Linked DNA regions of Callithrix jacchus. The protein of the gene in region 3 interacts with the protein of the main gene of each other region in a pairwise test. Links are inferred from orthologs where the notes say so. Each region holds a gene or a part of one and is shown on either strand. Other genes may lie near its edges. The genes, in order: TNIK, SH3BP5, SPTBN1, CEP63 and TRAF3IP1.

Region 1 (4,119 bases), on a different chromosome or scaffold from region 3:
GGAACCAATGAGACTTCTCGTCTAGATGAGCCCCCCTCTCCGAATGTGGGAAGGTAGAGATGATCTGCCCTCTGATTTGTGGAGATTACCTATGTGGCCTTTGGACCCACTCCAGCAGGCACACCTCACCCACAAGGCTGGTCAAAGACCCTGGCCCTCCGAGATATAACTGTCTCCACATCTTCTAGCCAGCAGTTCCTGGTCCCCCAAACTAGCTGTTGCCCTCTCTGTTTCCACACCTCCCAGCAGGCAGAAAAACAGAGGCAGCCCAGGCCACAAAGAACAATTTCAGTGAATCGTGCAAAGATGTCTTTTCAAAATACAGATCATAAGAACACACATCCCAAGTGCGAACCGCACTTGTCCACCCAGTGGGCCCTCACCGGTTGCTGCTGTACCTGCAGGCTCCGTGTTTGGTATCTCAGAAAACCTTCCCCAGGAAAAAGCCCACAAGGGACATGCCCTGGCCAAACTTAAAATCGCATCAGACTGCTTTCCAATAGAGGAGCAAGGTCGAGATTCCGGCCCAGGGAAATCACTGCAAGCCCTGTGCATTATTCAGACCCCGTCCCCCTTTGCCACTGTCCCCCCCAACCCCCCACCGATTCGCAGCACCCCACCCCCAGTCTGGGCCATCCATCCACCTGATTAACCCGCCCGCAGCAACTCCCAGCGCAGAAAGTAGGGCAAATGAACACACACAGTCGGTAAAGCAGGAAGCCACAGACCTGGCCAAAGCACCCACCCTGTTACCAACCCCACCCCGCTGCGCAGGGGGCAGCCAGTTCCTGATGTGGCATTTCGACTCCAGGGAAATAGACAGCTTCCTGTAATAATGCATGAATGAGCTCTGGCTGCCCAACTATCAGAACAGCCCATTGCAAACGGCAGCTGTTTCTTCTCAACTCATTACCTGCCTTGCTGAAACCTCGCCTCTTGGCCCCACAGATTACGACGAGGAGAGAAAGGGTTATTAAAAGACAGGCGAAAGAAAGCTTTAATTAAGGAGACCAAAGAGAAAGTACCACTTTGACCACAAAGGTAGCTCTTTAAAATATCGGTGCTGAAAGAGGCAATGTCAGAAGTACTATGAATCCAGGTAAATGGCCCCAAGATCCAGCATCAATCTAACAATGTATTCCTCAGGAGGGCGTGTGAACTTCCATGCTTCATCCATCCCGGTGTCGCCCTGTGGAGAGCCAACATCAATTCCTTCTCACCCACCCTCCATACATCAAGTCTATGCACTCGCTATTTTTTAAATTTAATTTTTGATTCGGGAGAGGAAGAAGCCGGCCTTAAATTGGTGCCCAATCCTTCTCAGACACCCGCTGCTGCCACCATCCCCACCCCTCACCCCCTTCCCGGCAGGCAGTATCTAATTAAAATGGCAAGAAAGCTCTGCCCCCTTCCCCGAAGGAGTGTGTTGGGATCGAGAGTTGGGGGTGGGGAAGCGTCGAGGCAGCACTGGGATTCCTGGTATTCTGATCTCAAAACAACAGCAAAATGGATTCTATATCAGTGATGTCTTAGTCAATACAGTGAAACGGCGTCTGAGGTAATTCACGTGAAGGTAAACGCAAACCAGTGGGGCTGGGGGAGGGAGGTGCTCTACAAAGGACTGGCCACAGACACGGGGAAACCACACACACACACATACACACACACACACACACGCACACGCACACACACTCCAGGGAGTTCCGGTCTGATTGAGGAAAAGCAGAAAACACATCCCTTTCACCTGCGTTAAGTTCAGCCATAAAACTGAAACATTACAGCCACGAAGTCAGAAAGCACAGGCAGGGCTGAGTTAAAGCCATAAATAAAGGTGAGTGGCAGACTGGCATTTGAGGGAGCGCTGAGAGGGCGCCGGGCGCGGGAGGCAGAAAAGGGGGAGGGGGAGGCAGCTGCCATCTACAAGACCAGCATAGCAATAACTGCCCCTCGGAGCGGAAGGTTCGGCTCCCCGGGGAGAGCCAGCCTCTCAGTGTCTTCTTGCAGGTAGCTGGAAAACGTGAGGGGCCAGTGCCTTTCTTCACGCTGGCATTCTTTTTGCAGAAGGGACAGTCGGGTCTCGCGCCTTGGCACCAGACAACTGCCCGGGGCGTGTACACACACACACACACACACACACGCCTTTCATTTTAATGCTCTTACACCGGTCTACGATGAAACTGGCATAAGCTCCACGAGCCCTCGGGGGCGCCTCGGCCACTGCCAAAGGAAGACTGCACCGCACAGCCCTTGCCGTAGGGACTCAGCCGGGAGCACCCCACAGCCCCGAATCAAAACGCAAATCCCGGTTCCCTCCCCGTCGCATTCTCCCGCTGCCGCCCAGCAGCCCCAGCCCCGGCCCCAGCCCCCAGTCCACGCACCGAGTTCATTCACCCTGACCCAAACCCCTGGAAAGAAACCAGAAAACATGTCCTACTCACCCTCAGAGCCGAGAGATCTATTTCATCCAGGCTTCGAGCCGGGGAGTCGCTCGCCATGTCTACTTCTTCGCTGGAGAAATGGACCAAAACCACCCCGAAGCTGCTCCCTTGGAAATTCCACCTTGGTCTATTTCACTCGCGTCCTCATGCGGGTGCCGCGCCAGAGGCCCCGGGCCCAGCCTCCCCCGCCCACCCCAGCCCCGCAGCGCCGGATCTCGGTCCTCCGCGCGTGGGTCCGCCGGGTCCGGGAGCCCAACCTGCGCGGATCTCCAAGCCCGGAGCGGCGGTGCGTGTGGGCTGAGCGCCCCGATCGGCTAAGGGCGCTGGGGCTGCGTGGGTGTATTTAAATGGGACATGCTTCTTTGCTTGTGCGTGGATGGCGGCTGCATTGGCTGTTATAATGAGACACATCAACTCCTCCACTCCGCGGGGGGAGGGTGGGGGTGGAGAACCACACAGAACTGTCTATCACCGCTTCCTGGGAGGAGTGAAGGGGTGGGGGGAGGCGGAGGAGGCGTGGTCTAGGACTGGGGAGCGGCAGGCCGCGCTTCCTGACCCGGTCCCTCTGCACCAGCGTGGAGGGGGGAGGGGCGCGCACCCTTTCCGCCCAGGCTTTTGCGGGCTCCGCGGGGCGAAGGCGAAGGGCCGTTCCTGAACCTTGACTTGCTTATCACGGGGACCCAAGCTCTATTTCTCTGTGGCCAATTCGTGCACTGCAGCAAAATGGCCCTTCAATCGCATCCTGGGGTTTCTCCGCGAGGTTCAAATGCACTTGCTCTGAGAAAGAGCCGGAGGGAAAAAAAGCAACACCCTCCCTTCCCCATTAATTATTTGTGGGGCTGGAGTTACGCGGGCTGGTGCAAACGGTGCATATAAGGACTTGTGTGGAAGGAAGGGGATCCGCCTCCAGGCGCGGAGAGAGTGGGGGAGATGCGTACACGCACAGTGCACCCAGCCGGGCGCTTCGGCAATTTGCAGCTGCGGCGGGGTCGGGTCCACCCGCGGTCCCCGGAATGCCGACGGCTGGTCCCGGGCGCCGGTCACTCGCCGACTCGGGGTTGGGAAGATTTGCCAGATGCGGGAAAGATGGGAGATCTGAGCGCTCTCTTGGCATCGCCACACCCAGGACCTGCTCGTGTCGCAATTCCCCACGGAAACAACCGAGTTGAAACGAGAAGCTTGTTCTCTGGGTGCAGTAGCTAGAAGGCTTCAGGTAACTCCAAAGCCAACACTGGGTGAGGCAACGCCCACCGCCTCGGCACTCGGCGTTTCTTCCCGGCTGGTTTGCGAGGCAGACCTGCCCAGATTGACAGAGAAAGTTTGGTTAGCGGATAAGAAGTAACGCGGAAGATGTGTACGTGAGAGCGACTTCACTTCACCCACTTTCTCCTGTGAAGGTTGGATGTTTTACAGTGGCATATATGACCTTGCTTCTGTAATCAAGAGTGGGAAGTCACTTCCCCCAATCCCTGCGCAGCCCTTCTTCTCCCGCCTTAGCCACGCAAAATACATAGAAAGAAAACACTGAAACTGAACTTTTCCCCAAATACAGCAGTAGCTTTGAAAGCATTCTTTGCTCCTCTGTTAACAGCAGAATGTTCTTCTGACCCGTGTCCTGATGGTTTCCTAATCACGCAGTATGAATATCAGCTTCAAAATAAGGCTTATGAATGAATGAGTG
Region 2 (2,360 bases), on a different chromosome or scaffold from region 3:
GGCCAATGAAGGACCTTTTTCTCCACAGCATGTTTTAATAATGAAATGCAGATTAAGAGTCCACCATTATAACATTTCCACAAGACAAAGGATCCACCTGATTCTCAACTCTGAATGCACATTTGAAATCCCCTTGGGGAGCTTTTAAAAGTCTGATGCACAAGTGTACCCCCAGTTAATTAACTCTGGGGAAGAGACCTGACAGCAACACTTAAGCTTCCTAGGAGACTGCAGTGTGCAGCTGAGGCTGAGGACCATTCCTCCAGCATCACCACATCATCTTTATTTATCTGTCACTGTGTCTCCTCATTGCCCATAGCTTTAGCAGCAGCAGAAGTAGAACTCAAACCTTGGTAATCAAGGCTTAAATTACTACTGTTCTTCAAAACCTTAATTGAAAATGATTACTGGTGACCACAGCACTCCATGTTCTTCCTTATGGCAAGAGGGTGGCATAGAAGATTTAGACAATACTGGGAGTTCTTATTTGAAGTCACAGAGGAAACTTTTCTCAAGCGGTTTTTATTACACTCAATGTATTAAGACAAGTACAAAATAACCTTGTAATTAGGATACTGTATCAGTCAAAAAAGGAGGAGTCACTGTTGTATGAAGAGATTTACAAATGACTAAAATATACAGGCTGTGACAGAATTAACAATTTGAAAGAGGGTTTTTTTAGAAATGCTAAATTTTCTTAACAAAACGAGACAAAAATACAGTGCTCTAAATATGCATTACCATGAAAACATTAAAGAAAAGCAGTCTTAACACTTACTACTATTAACATAACAGACTCTGTTGCTTCTATTTAACAGCCTTTGCCAACACATGCCCACTCCCTTTCCTAGCTTTAAAGAAGTTTCCTCTAAGGAATACTAGTGCAGCATAACCCTTAAATAATTTCGTTTATTTTTAAAGTTACAACCTACAGATAAATTAACACCTTGTCAATCTAATAACAGTGGCAACCATTCTTCACATGCACTTCTCTTAGAATAAATCCCCTTAGCCGGCAGAATAAGGTTTATGCTGTAGAACCTTCTCCCCCACAGCCACAGATTCCCTTCTATGATAAGTCCCTCCTACCCTCATGCCCCCCCCATCCCCACTGGCATTCACCTTCCCCATCCCAAAAAGTGCAGCTCTTGGTAGCCTTTCTAGAAATGGTTTTAATGGGTATCTTAGCATACACGCTTTTTAAAAAGCCCCCTCTGAACACCAGAGGTGATGAAAATGAGTTGTGTTCTTGGATTTTTTTAAGCCTCCACCGGGTCAAAAATATGTGCTCTCAATACTTGAGTTTTTGCTTTGTATGTGGGTTTTCCTTATCATTTAGCTATCATGGGGTAAAAGTGGAGTGAAATCTCCATTTTCCCATTCAAAATTGAGGGTGAGAAGAGAAAGAGAAGCAAGCTGTTGGCCCCACTTTGGCTTAGCTTCCCAGCCATCTTCCCAGCTCTGGTTCTTTCATAGGAACTAGTTATTGCTTCCACAGTGCCATTACAAGGAATGTTCCACAAAGGCTGTGAACCTGGTCACAGTCTGCCTGCGACAACTCTGCTCTGAAAAACAAACCAGCTCAGGACTCTTACCCAGAACCATCTTCAGCCCTCAAGGTCACTGAAACTTCATTAGTGCAGTTTAGAGTAGACGCGTAAGATTTGGCATATATTAAATGATTATTGGCACAATGTTCTCCAGTTCCATGTATAAATGTTGATACGCACATGGGCAGGGCCCAGGATGAATCAGCCAATCTGCACCATTTTTATGTCAGCAATAATCCCATCTCTTCCTTTTGAGCGCTGTAGGGAGAGCTGCTTCATCCGGTTCTCCAAGGCCTGGCCCTCAGGGGAGGTGCTGCTGTGGCTCTTACTGCTGCCACCACCGCCACTGCTATTGCTGAGGCCCTGGTTGTTGTTGGCTTTGTCACTTGTTTTATTTTCTGCCCCTTCTGCCCTGTCTCCTATAGAAATACAAAGATTATCAAAAGTGAGTCTTGACAATTTTAAGTCACTTTGGGCTCAAACCAACTAGCTAACTCAGCCCTGTGGAATTCCCAGTGTTGCCTTCTGTGCCTATCCGGGAGGTTCTGAGTATGTAATCACTTACTGCTTTTATTCCTTGTGATGTTCTATATATTCCTTGACTTTAGAGATGAAATTTGCCATATTCACTTTATAGCTGAGAAACAAACCTTTCTACTATGTGCTTGCCAAGGAGACTGTTCTGATGTGAGACACAGGACCTAAGCCCTACTTTATAGAAGCTGAGTGGAGCCAGGAGCCTCCCCAGAACAGCACTTGGAAATAACCTCAGTGATCAACACTGACAGCACAACCAGAGACCAGGTAATG
Region 3 (3,515 bases):
GGTTCATCCAGCAGGAGGCTCCTATGTAGTCATGAAAACGAATGAGGAAGGGCTTCTATGTAGTCAACATGAAAAACACACCAAGATGATTAAGTGGAATAAACAGTGCAGACAATGTGCATAATATTCTTCCTCTGTAAAAACAAAAATAAGAATACACTCTTACCTTTTTTGGGGGACAGTGTATGTCTTTATAACTGAAGCTGATAAGTGCAGCTAATTTTATAAATTTTCTCCTCTTACATGTCTTATATAAAGTACGTAACATTACTAGTGCCACACTTGTGCACAATGTCTAATTAAAGATATATACATAGAGGGGAATGGACACCCAATCATCATTTACTGATAAAGCTGCATGATCAAAGAAGTCTGCAGATAACTGTCCTGGATGATGAGAGCTTTTAGATGTCTGTGAGAGTAGTGTTTGGAGAAATGCTAAGTGGAGTAAAAGGGGGTGGGGACAGACAGCACTAGGGCTTGTAGGGAGGTGGATTACTGATTCCTGATTGCACAGAAGGACTTCAGGTGACAATAGGTTAAAAAAAAAAAGTAGTTTCTGCAAAAGATGCAAAGAAGAACCAGTGGGCTTTGGTTTCCATTGTAATTTGATTTTAATATCCCAAGTGACTTTTGGAAATATTCTTTGATTATGCCCAGGTTTAACTTGAATTATAATGAGCAAATTCCTAGGAAATAATGTGAAAAGCTAATTTTCCTACACAACGAATCACATTTTTTAAAACACCTGTTTCCGTGTGTCTGGTTGTTTTCTATAAATTTCTTCTCCCAATAAAACGTAAAGTAGAAGAGGATAACAAGTGAAAATTTCCATAAATATTAACTATTGCTTTGTATAAACACTCAAGATCTTCATCAGTGCTATGTGTCACTCCCACTGCTCCTGTGCAGAATGGAGACAGTGGCAGGTCAAACTGGCACAAAAGGAAACAACCAAAGGGGAAGTACCACGTGCTCCTGGGAGCCTGCATAAACAGCCTTCCCTGCTCTGTTACTCTGTGAAAATAAACCCAGATCAGGTCAATACCTGCAGTAAGACACACATCCCTTTTACAGCTATAAACATCATAGCCCAGTGGGTGTGGTGAGGTGCAGACTGTCAGACTCGAAGGACTAGATTCCCACCCTGCATGTTCCAAGACCCTTCTTGGGCTTCCTCATCTCTAAGTCTAAGGAGGTGAAGGGATTTAATGAAAAAATGAGACCGCAACTCCACTATGTCTCAACTGTCTTTCAGTTCTAAAAGTAAATGACTTTACAGGTGCAAAGGAAAGACCTACGCTGCTAAGGTGTTTTCTAATTCTGTCTCTAGGTGTCCCATGTTTTCCTAAACTTTTGTAATACCATAATAATTAGAAAACATTTACAGAAATCTCATTATGTTATATTATTTTGCATCTCAATCCCTAAACTATTAGGGAACCAAAGCTTAGAGAGGTAAATTAAACTTGCAGTCACAGTGACAGGAATTAGGAATTAAGAGGAATTCTGCTCATGTACCCCAAAACCTAAAATGCAATAAAAAATTTAAAAAAAAAAAAAAGAATTAAGAAGAAGTGAGAGAGAACAACAACCAAGGTGGTCCCTTCACAGAACAAATCCCAAAGTATACCAAAGCCATCTAGAGGCTGAGGCAGTAGACTGGGTCAGCCCAAGGCTGTATATGAGCGGCCTGTTTCTGTAAGTAAAGATTTACAGGAACACAGCTAGCTCATTCATTTTCTCACTGTCTATATCTGCTTTATGCTACAATGGCAGAGGGCAGAGCTGCAACGGAGAGTGTGAGTCTCATAAGCTGAAAATATTTACTACTTGGCTTTTAACAGAAAAAGCTGAGATAATCTAGATACTCAGTATACTCTTAACAACAAGAACAAAACCCCTGACATCACCACGGATAACATCTTTAATAAAACTGGCTTCTTCTCTAGTACCATGAAACTTAGAAGAAAAAAAATACAATTTGTTTTTCAACTAAAAGGCCTAAGACGAAATAAGAAACTGCAGAGATCAGAAAGGAAACTAGAGAGTGACTACACCAGATTTTGCTATATTGTTACTACTTTGTCAAATATCTTTTGAACAAAGCCTTAGTGCCAGTCATTTTATACTGGGGACCAGGCATGCTAAAATGTTAGAAATCCAGTTTTTCTTTTTCCAGGCATATAACTTAGAACCCAGTTGATAAAAAATAGTAAGGTATTATTTTGGAAATTGTTCTGGATGAATATGCTAACATAATAAAAACTCTCGCTGAGGCCTGTGACTCACTTGTGTCTGTGTATGCATCAGGTTTATTTAATTATGGGGACACTTGTCTAATGTTTGCAAATGTGGCAAATGTAGACTTTTATGGACTGTTAAGTTCTCCCAAATGAAGCACTATTACAAAGTGGGTACATGTATGTGCTTAACTGGGACAATTCTTTTGAGGTAGAGAGAAAGCCTCCCTACCACCCATGGGTGGCTGCCCTACCCACCTGTGTGCCCAGAGCCTGGATGTCATGCTCAAATGTAGTGTGCATTCTCTGTAAGGTCTCCACTGTGTTCTGATCTCTCCCAAGCTCCTCAGGGAGTTTCTTGTGTTTGTCCTGTATACGCCCAAAGATCTCCTTGGCATCATGGTAAAACTTGTGCAGTTCATAGGAAGCGGCAAGGATCTGTGTTCTTGTGTCAATGAGCTCCAGGAGGTCGGCCCAGGCTTCGTTGAGACCATCCTTCCATTCAGCGATGGTGGCGGCATCCGAATGTCCAGAGTTAATGAGTTCATCTGCCATGTGATTGACCGTGTCCACGCGCTCCTGCCCAATGTTCCCAGTATCTCGGGCAAATTCCCGGAATCGTTCTTGTAACATCTGAAACGAAGATGGGTAAGGAAATCAGTGAGCCCATTGTGAACTATTTCTTGATCACATGAATAGCCTTTGGAAATAAACTGCCTCTAAGCAAGATGTAACCATAATACTCATGACTTAAGAACAACAGATCCTAGTTCGAGAACCTCTTAGCAATCAGGTTTCCTTCTTGCTCCCTGCAGCAGAGTGAGGCACTACCTCCACCTCCTTTAACTACTGGGGGAAGGGGTACACAGAGAGGTTAGCCCATCTAAATGCAAGTCTCCTGCTTATAAAAGAAACACCACCTAAAAACTAAACCCCAAGACCTCTGATTGGAGTCCAGGGCATCTTATCTGGTCACAGATAAGGAATGCAAATGGGCCTCCACACCATCGCTCACTGCACAACCAACTCACGCACTGTCTGAAGTACTTGCCGTGACATGCTCATAGTCCTGTCCCAGTTCATGGGACCCTGCGACCACCTCCCTCTCAGCGATCCACTGTTCCAGGTCGTCTACTTCCCGGTTGAGCTGGAATAACCTGTGTCTCTCATCTAGCTTGCCTCTCCTCTCTTCAGCAAGGTCTTTCAGACCAGCGTACAGTTTATCCACTTTGGACTGCCGCATGCTAATGCGTTCACTGAAAAAGAAAGGGA
Region 4 (4,276 bases), on a different chromosome or scaffold from region 3:
GGACAGTGCAATTCTACATCTAACTACTGGTTTAGAGCAGTGGTCCTCAACCTTTTTGGCACCAGGGGCCTGTTTCATGAAGAATTTTTCCACCGACAGGGTGAAAATAACATATTTTGTCTTTTTTTTTTTTGTGAAAATTCATATGAAATGTTGTTTGGGGGAAATGGCCAAACCACTTCTTGACTAATATGAATAATACACATGGACATGGTTAGGGACATGGTTTCAGGATGAAACTGTTCCACCTCAGAGCATTAGGCATTAGTTAGTGATTCTTTTTTTTTTTTTTTGGAGACAGAGTTTCGCTCTTGTTACCCAGGCTGGAGTACAATGGCGCGATCTCGGCTCACCACAACCTCCGCCTCCTGGGTTCAGGCAATTCTCCTGCCTCAGCCTCCTGAGTAGCTGGGATTACAGGCACGCACCACCATGCCCAGCTAATTTTTTTGTGTGTGTTTTTAGTAGAGACGGGGTTTCACCATGTTGACCAGGATGGTCTCGATGATCTCTTGACCTCGTGATCCACCCGCCTCAGCCTCCCAATAGTTAGTGATTCTTATAAGGAGCGTGCAACCTAGATTCCTCGCCTGCGTAATTCACAATAGGGGTGTGCTTCTAGGAGAATCTAACCTCATGGCTGATCTGACAGGAGGCAGGGCTCAGGTGGTAGGTGATGCTCACTCTCCTGCCACTCACCTCCTGCTCTATAGCCAGGTTCTTAACAGGCCACGGACCGTAGTGCTCTGCGGCCCCGGGGTCGGGAAACCCTGGTTTAGAGGACATAAAGGCAACACAGATACGTGTTAAAAGATACTGTGCAATGCAATCTGCTAAATTTAGAACTGCAAGGAAAAATAAGGGCCAGTCCTATAGCTATAGCTATGTGGGAACTGTTATTGATTAAAAAATGTCAAATGTGTATCACCCAAAGGTAACAGGCAGACGTGGGATTTTGGTTCAAACAAGCTAACTGTAAGAAGACATTTAGGAGAGAGTTGAAGAATTCGGAATCTAACTAGATATTGACATTAGGGAATTTTTATTAATTTGTATACGTTTAATGACAGTATTGTGGCTTTGTAAAACTGAAAAAAACCTAGCTGGGGGGGGGCTAAAATAACATAGAGATCAGAGATTCAGTTCCTGAAACCTTATGTCAATGTTGGCTTTAGCTGAATTTCAAGTCAAGTAGACATTTTTTGAAAGCAGGAAGCTATGACAGAGTCGACTACTGATGCTGTCACCATCTGCCAGCACAACATAAATGAGAACAGAAAAAACTAAGAAAAGGTCTTTCACCTTTTAACGAGAGGAAATGGCATCAGTACAATCAACATTAATTTTTACAGCTTTTAGATTTGAATCTACATATATTTTAAAAGGCAGTGCGCTTGTTTATAAATCTCTACCTCATTTTAATTTCAGAGCCTTTTTTTACTACCTGATCACTGATAACTACAGTCAAAAGGCAAGATCGATCTACAAATCATACTGCATTCCAAATAATATACACACTTTAGTATATCATTAAGCTACAACTAACAGAAATCTAATTAATGATCCTTATGATTTCTTCTTGTCTAATAAAAGCTAACACATGAGGAACCGTATAAATACGCGTTCCTACCCTACAATACTGCTTCTTCAAAGGAAAAAATTCTTTTAATCAGTTTAATCGGACATAAGGCTCAGGGAAAACTATTTTATGCATATTAGTGTACGGTGCTGAAAGTATAAAAGATGACTAGTATCTGACATCGCACTCATCTTCCTGATGTCGTAAGGGACATAAGAAAAACCACATTATAAGCCTAGATGTACTGTCTTCAAGTGAATGAGCAGGTCCCCTGTGAGATGAATGAAGTAGTCCCAACAGCGTTAGCTACACAGCAGCCCCGGCAGGGAGGCGGCGCTGGGGTACCTGCGCTGAAAGGGATGGTGGGTCCGCCGGGCAAAGTGAGTCCTGGCCGCAGCACGCCGGCCCCCCTGGCCACCCTCCGAGGTGACCCCCACCGCCCGGTCTCCGCGGAAGGGCTGACCACCTGGCAGAGCCGAACCCGCGCGCCGGACGGCGCCATGCCCGACAGCGCCAAGCCCGACTCCGCTGGTCTGCGTGGCGCAGCAGGTAAGGTCGAGGGGCGGGTCTCGGAGGCTGACCCGAGCCGGCTGGGACGCGCCTGGTGACTCGCAGGCTGTGGCGGGAACCAGCCGCAAGCTATGAGGCCACGAAGCCAGGGTCACCACGGCAGCATGGGCCGCCTCCAGACCAGGGCACGCCCGCCCCTTGCCCGTCCGACGTGCGCACAAGCGGTTACAAAGCTGCGACAAGCGCGCCCCCGAACTTTTCCCGCCGTTACCTCAGGCCGGCGCAGCGCACGCGCGCCACCGCCGAGCATACTACCAGCCTCTGTCGGCGCGTTCGTCCCGCCCACTGCCCCCACACTTTTAATTGAAACTCTCCTTCAGACTTCCCCGGCCCGCAAGCAAATGGACTCACCCACATCCGGGAATCCGAGGGAAGAGCGTGGGGACTAGTGATGCTGAGGGCGTGGCCGGAGGAAGCGCCAGCTGCTGTGTGCTGGATGCTGGTAAGGGTTTCCAGCGACCCTGGTCTAGGTCTTGGGGGCGCAGAAATGCGTTCGTTTCTCAGTGTCGGACTTTCCCGTATTCCCATCGGCTGAGGTCGTCACTTTAAACTCATAACTATTTCCCTTACTGCACGTTGTGTCGGGAGGAAAGGGAATTGGGTGGCGCCTCCAGACTTCCCCATCCGCGCTTCCACGTTTGGCACCTCCTGCCTTAGGCCGGAAGCCGCAGCTGACGGGCGGCTTCACGTACGGCGCTGACGGTGGTGGCCTGCGAGGCTCATTTCTAGCGAGGAACAAGGCTTTCCAGCCTTGACTTCAATAAATACATGTTTACGAAGCTATATATATATAATACATAGAGATTGTTAAGACATTCTTCTGTCCTGGGAAACGCTGGCACCGCGTGTCTGGAAAGAAATACATCTGGGCTGTGTGACAAACTCCCCAGTTGGTGCCCTGCTGTGTGCTCAGGGAACTGTGCGATCCTTGGAGGGGTAGGTACTAGGACCGCGCTCAGCCTGGGGTTTGGAGGCGGCCTCCTACAGGAAGCTCCCTGGGACCTAAGATTTTTAGAGGTTCACTGGAATAAAAAGGAAGAGAAAAAAAGAACATTGCAAGCATTGGGACTGTAACGTAAGAAAAGTTTGTTCAGGAAACAGTGGTCGTGCTGTGTGACGAGTACTTGGGACGGTGACTGTGCCCTGGGCATTGATTGTCTTGATGCTTCCGATCCTTCCGGTCCCTTATGAGTGAAGGCACCTTTGCATCTAACCCTGGAAATGGGATGTTGATCTTCAAGAGCTGACGCCTGCTTTAATCTTGAAAGGAAGAGTAGCATTAGTGATGTGGAAAAGGGGATTTTAATTGCCAAGGCTGGAAAATGTGACATGGTTGGAGGTGTTTGGTGAAGGGACAGGTGACAAAGATTGAGGCCAAACTGTGGAAAGATCTAAGAAATCATGGGTAAAAAATGTACCCTTAACAGTTGGAGACAATAATACCTGAGCAGTTATCACAAAGCTGACCTAGCTTGTTTAGTAGATTAAGTTAGGACAAGAAACAGGAGTTCAAGGATAGAAGGCCTATGAAGCTCAAGTGATTTGAGAAAATTGTATTAAAAGGTGGAAAATCTGTGTGGGCCTGGGGAAATGTTTGGATCAGCTGAGGAAAGTGAGAAGGGTATCCCAGGGGACAGAGCAGCAAGGACGAAGGAGTAGCAGCACAAAAGTGGGGAGCTCTTGTAAGACGGGGACTACGAAAGTATAACCAAAACTTCGTCTTGCTTTGAGTTATCCACTGGGTAGTACTGGGTTAATTATTGAGTACTGGATTAATTAAGACCTCACCTGGCTCACCGGTGATAGAAGTAGCAAGACACATTTTGCTTAACTTTTGCCCAGATCCTTATCATGGGGGTAAGAACCCTTGCCCATACCAATCTGTGTATAATTTTTGCCAAGGAGTAGGAATACCTTGCAGTTACCCTATGGGGGACGTCTGTGAGCCATTTTTACAAAAGCTTCCACCTGCTTTGGCCCAAACCTCAGCATTCCTAAGCACAGGAGCTCATGAACATACTGAGATGACACTGAGGTGGAGTATACGAAGGGACCAACTACAGACCAGAGTTGTACAAATCCTCAAGGCAAGGCAATGTCTGAAGTTGAGCTTGTAAAGGAAATGGC
Region 5 (3,981 bases), on a different chromosome or scaffold from region 3:
ATAAAATCTTGAAGGCTGCCAGAAACACAATAGACAGAACAAAGAATTACAGAAGACTTTTTTTCTTTGAGACGGAGTTTCACTCTTGTTGCCCAGGCTAGAGTGTAATAGTGATCTCGGCTGATTGCAACCTCCGTCTCCCAGGTTCAAGTGATTCTCCTGGCTCAGCCTCCCGAGTAGCTGGTACTGCAGGCATGCGCCACCATGCCCACCCGGCTAATTTTATATTTTTAGTACAGACGGGGTTTCTCCATGTTGGTCAGGCTGGTCTTGAACTCGTGACCTCAGGTGCCCACCTCGGCTTCCCAAGGTGCTGGGATTACAGGCGTGAGCCACAACGCCTGGCTGTATGGAAGATTTTTATTCTGAACCTATGCAAGCCAGAAGTCAATGGGGTAACATCCTTAAAGTACGGAAAAAAAAAAACAAAACCCAGTCAAGTTAGAATTTTATACTTTTTGTTTGTTTGTTTTTAAAGACAGAGTTTTGCTGTGTTGCCCAGGCTGGGGTGCGGTGGCGCGACTTCGGCTCACTGCAGTCTCTGGCCCCCGGGGTTCAAGCGATTCCTCAGCCTTCCAAGTAGTTGGGGTTACAGGCACACACCACCACGACCGGCTGATTTTTGTATTTTCAGTAGAGACGGGGTTTCACCATGTTGGCCAGGATGGTCTCGATCTCTTGACCTACTGATCCGCCCGCCTGGGCCTCCCAAAGTGCTGGGATTACAGGCGTGAGCCACCGCGCCCGGCCAGGACAGTCTATTTTCCATTCCGTGTGTTTTGGGATAACAGCTCCATCCCCTCCGATGAACCAGTGCCCGCGAAAGCCCTTGAGATTTGGGAAGCAGGCGGCCCAGATCTTGGTTTACCCCGCTGTGCATCAGTCCTCAGGCGGTGGCCTCTAAGGCGAGCCAACACCCACTTCGCGAGGCCGTCGCTCCGCATTGGAGGGGCGAGGCGCGGGACCCCGGACCACCTTCCCCCGCCCCGCCGCGCCCCCCTCGTCTGCGCACGCGCGGACGCCCCCCCGCCCCCCCCCCTCCGGCGGAATCCCCCTCTTGTTTGCGCCGGCGCAGGACGGTAGACGCGGATGGGGCGCCGCGGCGCGTCCGTTGCTAAGGCCGCGCAGCCCTAGCGACCGAACGCCTTGCGGCTTCCGCGCAGGCGCCGTGGCGGGCTCCGGTGCACTGTGGGATGGAAACCGTAGCGGCGCGTCCTGGCGGGACCGGGCTGTGGCTGCGGGGCGGGCGACGGCGGCGGGGCAGGCGGCGGCCAGGGACCCGGGCTTAGGCTCGGCCGGGTCGGCTGAGGGGCGTGGGCAGCGGAGGCTGCCATGAATTCGGCGGTGGTGAGGCGGACGCAGGAGGCGCTGGGGAAGGTGATCCGGAGGCCGCCGCTGACGGAGAAGCTGCTGAGCAAGCCCCCGTTCCGCTACCTGCACGACATCATCACCGAGGTGGGCGCCGGGGGCCGCGCCGGGCCAGGGGCGGGTCGGGGTCCCGGTGGGCGCCGGGTGTTAGCCAGGGTCGGGGGCCGGGGCTGGGCCGGGGTCAGGGCCCGGGCCGGGCTCGAGGTGCAGGTAGGGGACCAGGTCAGGGCCGAGTGTGGACCCGGTGTGGGCCGGGGTCGGGGTGCAGGTCGGGGACCGGGTCAGGGCCGGGCGCGGGGTGCGGTTAGGGGGCTGCAGTCAGTCCCGGGGTCGGGGCCAGAGCTCTGTGCAGCCCCTGCCCCGGAGCCCGGCCTGTAGGCCCAATTCCGCGGCGCCCTCCTCGCGGACGTCTGACCCCTTCCCCCGCTCCCGGCCGCTTACAGGGAGGCTCCGGGCCCTCGGGGAGCATTCTTAACTTCTTCCCTGCCTGTCCGTGTATCTCTTTAGAGCGCATCTTCCATTCTGCTCCCTCCTTGTGTAACCCTGGGGAACCCCTCTCGCTTGCGCTGGAGCATGTAACACATGGAAGGCGCTCCCTAAATCCTGGGACAATGGAAATAATATTTTTTGTACAACTCTCCTGCCTCAAAGCTGCCCTCCATACCCTATTTTGGGTGCTTGATAAATGTCTGTGGGTGAATTTAGTGGAGGTGGTTGTGGGGAGACTTGGTAGGAACAGCTGTAACAGAGCCGCATAGCCTGCCCTAAATTGAAGATTGGTGGTCTGTGTGGCTTTTCCCCGCTTGCGGGTGGCGTGCTCCTTAGTGACGGAGACCCTGCTTGTCAGCATGGCTCTGGTGATCTGCCCTGGATCAGGTACATAGAAATTCACAGCAAACATCCCCTGTTGCGTGGGACCTGTCACGGCTCCGGGTAACTCCCTGGTAACTCTCAGGAGCGTCACTGCAGGGGGTGCAGCACCCATTTGCAGGGTGCACCCAAGGGCACATGGGAACTCAGAGGTGTGTTCTGGGATTGAGGATTCAGGTCGGACTTGGAGACTTCCGGGGGCTCATGAGCTAACCTGGTGATGGGCCTTAAGCTCCAGTTCTCACTCTTTTCTACAGGTTGGGTGCCGTATTCTTACACAGACATCGCTCTTCTGGTTCTGCCCTCCTACCTTGGCTTCCAGTGTACGCTCTCCTGGAGCCTGTGCCTCTGTGTTAAGACAGTGCTTAAAAATGCTCTTGAATCCACCCACATCCCAGGGCACCGCCAGCCCTGGTTATGTCCTCCCAACTGGTGCAGCACTTACAGCTTGTCCTGGGCAGTGTGTGGGGAGGGGACCTGCCGTGTGGATAGGCTTGTAGGAGCAGGACAGTGCACATGTCACTCCTGTGAAGTAGGCAGGGCCTACGTCCTCTGCCCCAGAGGAAACAAGTAAGAGCCAATGTGAGCCCAACCCACCACAGCTGTGGCTGCCAAAACCTTTAATCTTCTCCCAGTCCTGCCTGCCCCACTGAAATGCAGAGCCCTAGGAGTGAGGTGCAGGGAGTGTGTCTTATCCTTGTGGGGTAGTGGTGCAGCTCAGCTCTTGGTGACGGTCCAGTCACTACTGCATAGCTGGTCAGAGGCATCCTCGTGGGAAAGGGCCACCCGGGGGCGGCTCACACCTGCAATCCCAGCACTCTGGAAGGCCACAGTAGGCAGATCACTTCGGCCCAGGAGTTCAAGACCAGCCTGGCCAACATGGCAAAACTCCAGCTCTACGAAGAATACAAAAATTAGCCGAGTGTCGTGGTGCACCTGTAATCCCAGCTACTCAGGAAGCTGAGTAGGGAGAATCGCTTGAGCTCAGGAGGTTGAGGCTGCAGTGAGCTGTGATTGCACCAGTGCACTCCAGCCGGTGTGACAGAGTAAGACCCTGTCTCAAAAAAATAAATAAATAAATAAAAGGATCGCCTTCCTGGCCAGGTGGCTAGGGTGTGGGACTAGTTGTGTGTTCCCAATTAGGAATGACTGGTCTGCTCTACTCCCAGAGACTTCCTCATTTATGCCAAAGTTCGTTTTTCTTCTTGTGTAAAGATCAATACAGGAATTGTCACCTACTTGATAAAGAGGCTAGAATGACTGACATATTGGAAAGCATTTTGAGATAATAGGTGGAAAGGGTCTTATGAAAATGCTTTATTATCCTAAATATTATACTCAAATCACCATATTAGTATTTAAGCTACAGCTAAACTAACCATCCCTTTCATTAAGCTAAGTGTGGATCCTGTGATATTAATGTCTCTTGTCACTTACAGTTATTGCTCACAATTTTTTTTTTTTTTTAGAGGGAGTCTTGCTCTGTCACCCAGGCTGGAGTGCAGTGGCACGATCTCGACTCACTGCAACCTCCACCTCCTGGGTTCAAATTATTCTCCTGTCTCAGCCTCCCGAGTAGCTGGGACTACAGGCACATGCCACTATACCCAGTGTTAACTTTTGTATTTTTAGTAGAGATGGGGTTTTGCCACATTGGCCAGGTTGATCTTGAACCCCTGACCTCAAGTGATCCACCCACCTTGGCCTCCCAAAGTGCTGGGATTACAGGTGTGAGCCTCTGTG

The links.
Region 1: the proteins of SPTBN1 (region 3) and TNIK interact in a two-hybrid assay, tested with the Homo sapiens proteins (2 studies listed by BioGRID and IntAct). The link is inferred for Callithrix jacchus from reciprocal best matches to the Homo sapiens genes SPTBN1 and TNIK.
Region 2: the proteins of SPTBN1 (region 3) and SH3BP5 interact in a two-hybrid assay, tested with the Homo sapiens proteins (2 studies listed by BioGRID and IntAct). The link is inferred for Callithrix jacchus from reciprocal best matches to the Homo sapiens genes SPTBN1 and SH3BP5.
Region 4: the proteins of SPTBN1 (region 3) and CEP63 interact in a two-hybrid assay, tested with the Homo sapiens proteins (2 studies listed by BioGRID and IntAct). The link is inferred for Callithrix jacchus from reciprocal best matches to the Homo sapiens genes SPTBN1 and CEP63.
Region 5: the proteins of SPTBN1 (region 3) and TRAF3IP1 interact in a two-hybrid assay, tested with the Homo sapiens proteins (2 studies listed by BioGRID and IntAct). The link is inferred for Callithrix jacchus from reciprocal best matches to the Homo sapiens genes SPTBN1 and TRAF3IP1.

Annotation. Positions count from the first base shown.
Region 1 is NC_133518.1:15,589,156-15,593,274, reverse strand, and holds the start of TNIK (TRAF2 and NCK-interacting protein kinase), read right to left. Parts: upstream 2,811-4,119; 5' UTR 2,496-2,810; coding exon 2,439-2,495; intron 2,305-2,438; exon of another isoform or gene 2,161-2,304; intron 1-2,160. UniProt on the Homo sapiens protein: Serine/threonine kinase that acts as an essential activator of the Wnt signaling pathway. Recruited to promoters of Wnt target genes and required to activate their expression. May act by phosphorylating TCF4/TCF7L2.
Region 2 is NC_133518.1:54,070,083-54,072,442, forward strand, and holds the end of SH3BP5 (SH3 domain-binding protein 5), read right to left. Parts: intron 1,970-2,360; coding exon 1,752-1,969; 3' UTR 507-1,751; downstream 1-506. UniProt on the Homo sapiens protein: Functions as a guanine nucleotide exchange factor (GEF) with specificity for RAB11A and RAB25. Inhibits the auto- and transphosphorylation activity of BTK. Plays a negative regulatory role in BTK-related cytoplasmic signaling in B-cells.
Region 3 is NC_133515.1:59,861,406-59,864,920, forward strand, and holds part of SPTBN1 (spectrin beta chain, non-erythrocytic 1), read right to left. Parts: intron 3,500-3,515; coding exon 3,295-3,499; intron 2,877-3,294; coding exon 2,502-2,876; intron 1-2,501. UniProt on the Homo sapiens protein: Fodrin, which seems to be involved in secretion, interacts with calmodulin in a calcium-dependent manner and is thus candidate for the calcium-dependent movement of the cytoskeleton at the membrane.
Region 4 is NC_133518.1:49,699,462-49,703,737, forward strand, and holds the start of CEP63 (centrosomal protein of 63 kDa), read right to left. Parts: upstream 2,805-4,276; 5' UTR 2,678-2,804; coding exon 2,361-2,677; intron 2,319-2,360; exon of another isoform or gene 2,082-2,318; coding exon of another isoform or gene 1,925-2,081; intron 771-1,924; coding exon of another isoform or gene 700-770; intron 1-699. UniProt on the Homo sapiens protein: Required for normal spindle assembly.
Region 5 is NC_133507.1:159,642,328-159,646,308, forward strand, and holds the start of TRAF3IP1 (TRAF3-interacting protein 1), read left to right. Parts: upstream 1-1,180; 5' UTR 1,181-1,332; coding exon 1,333-1,455; intron 1,456-3,981.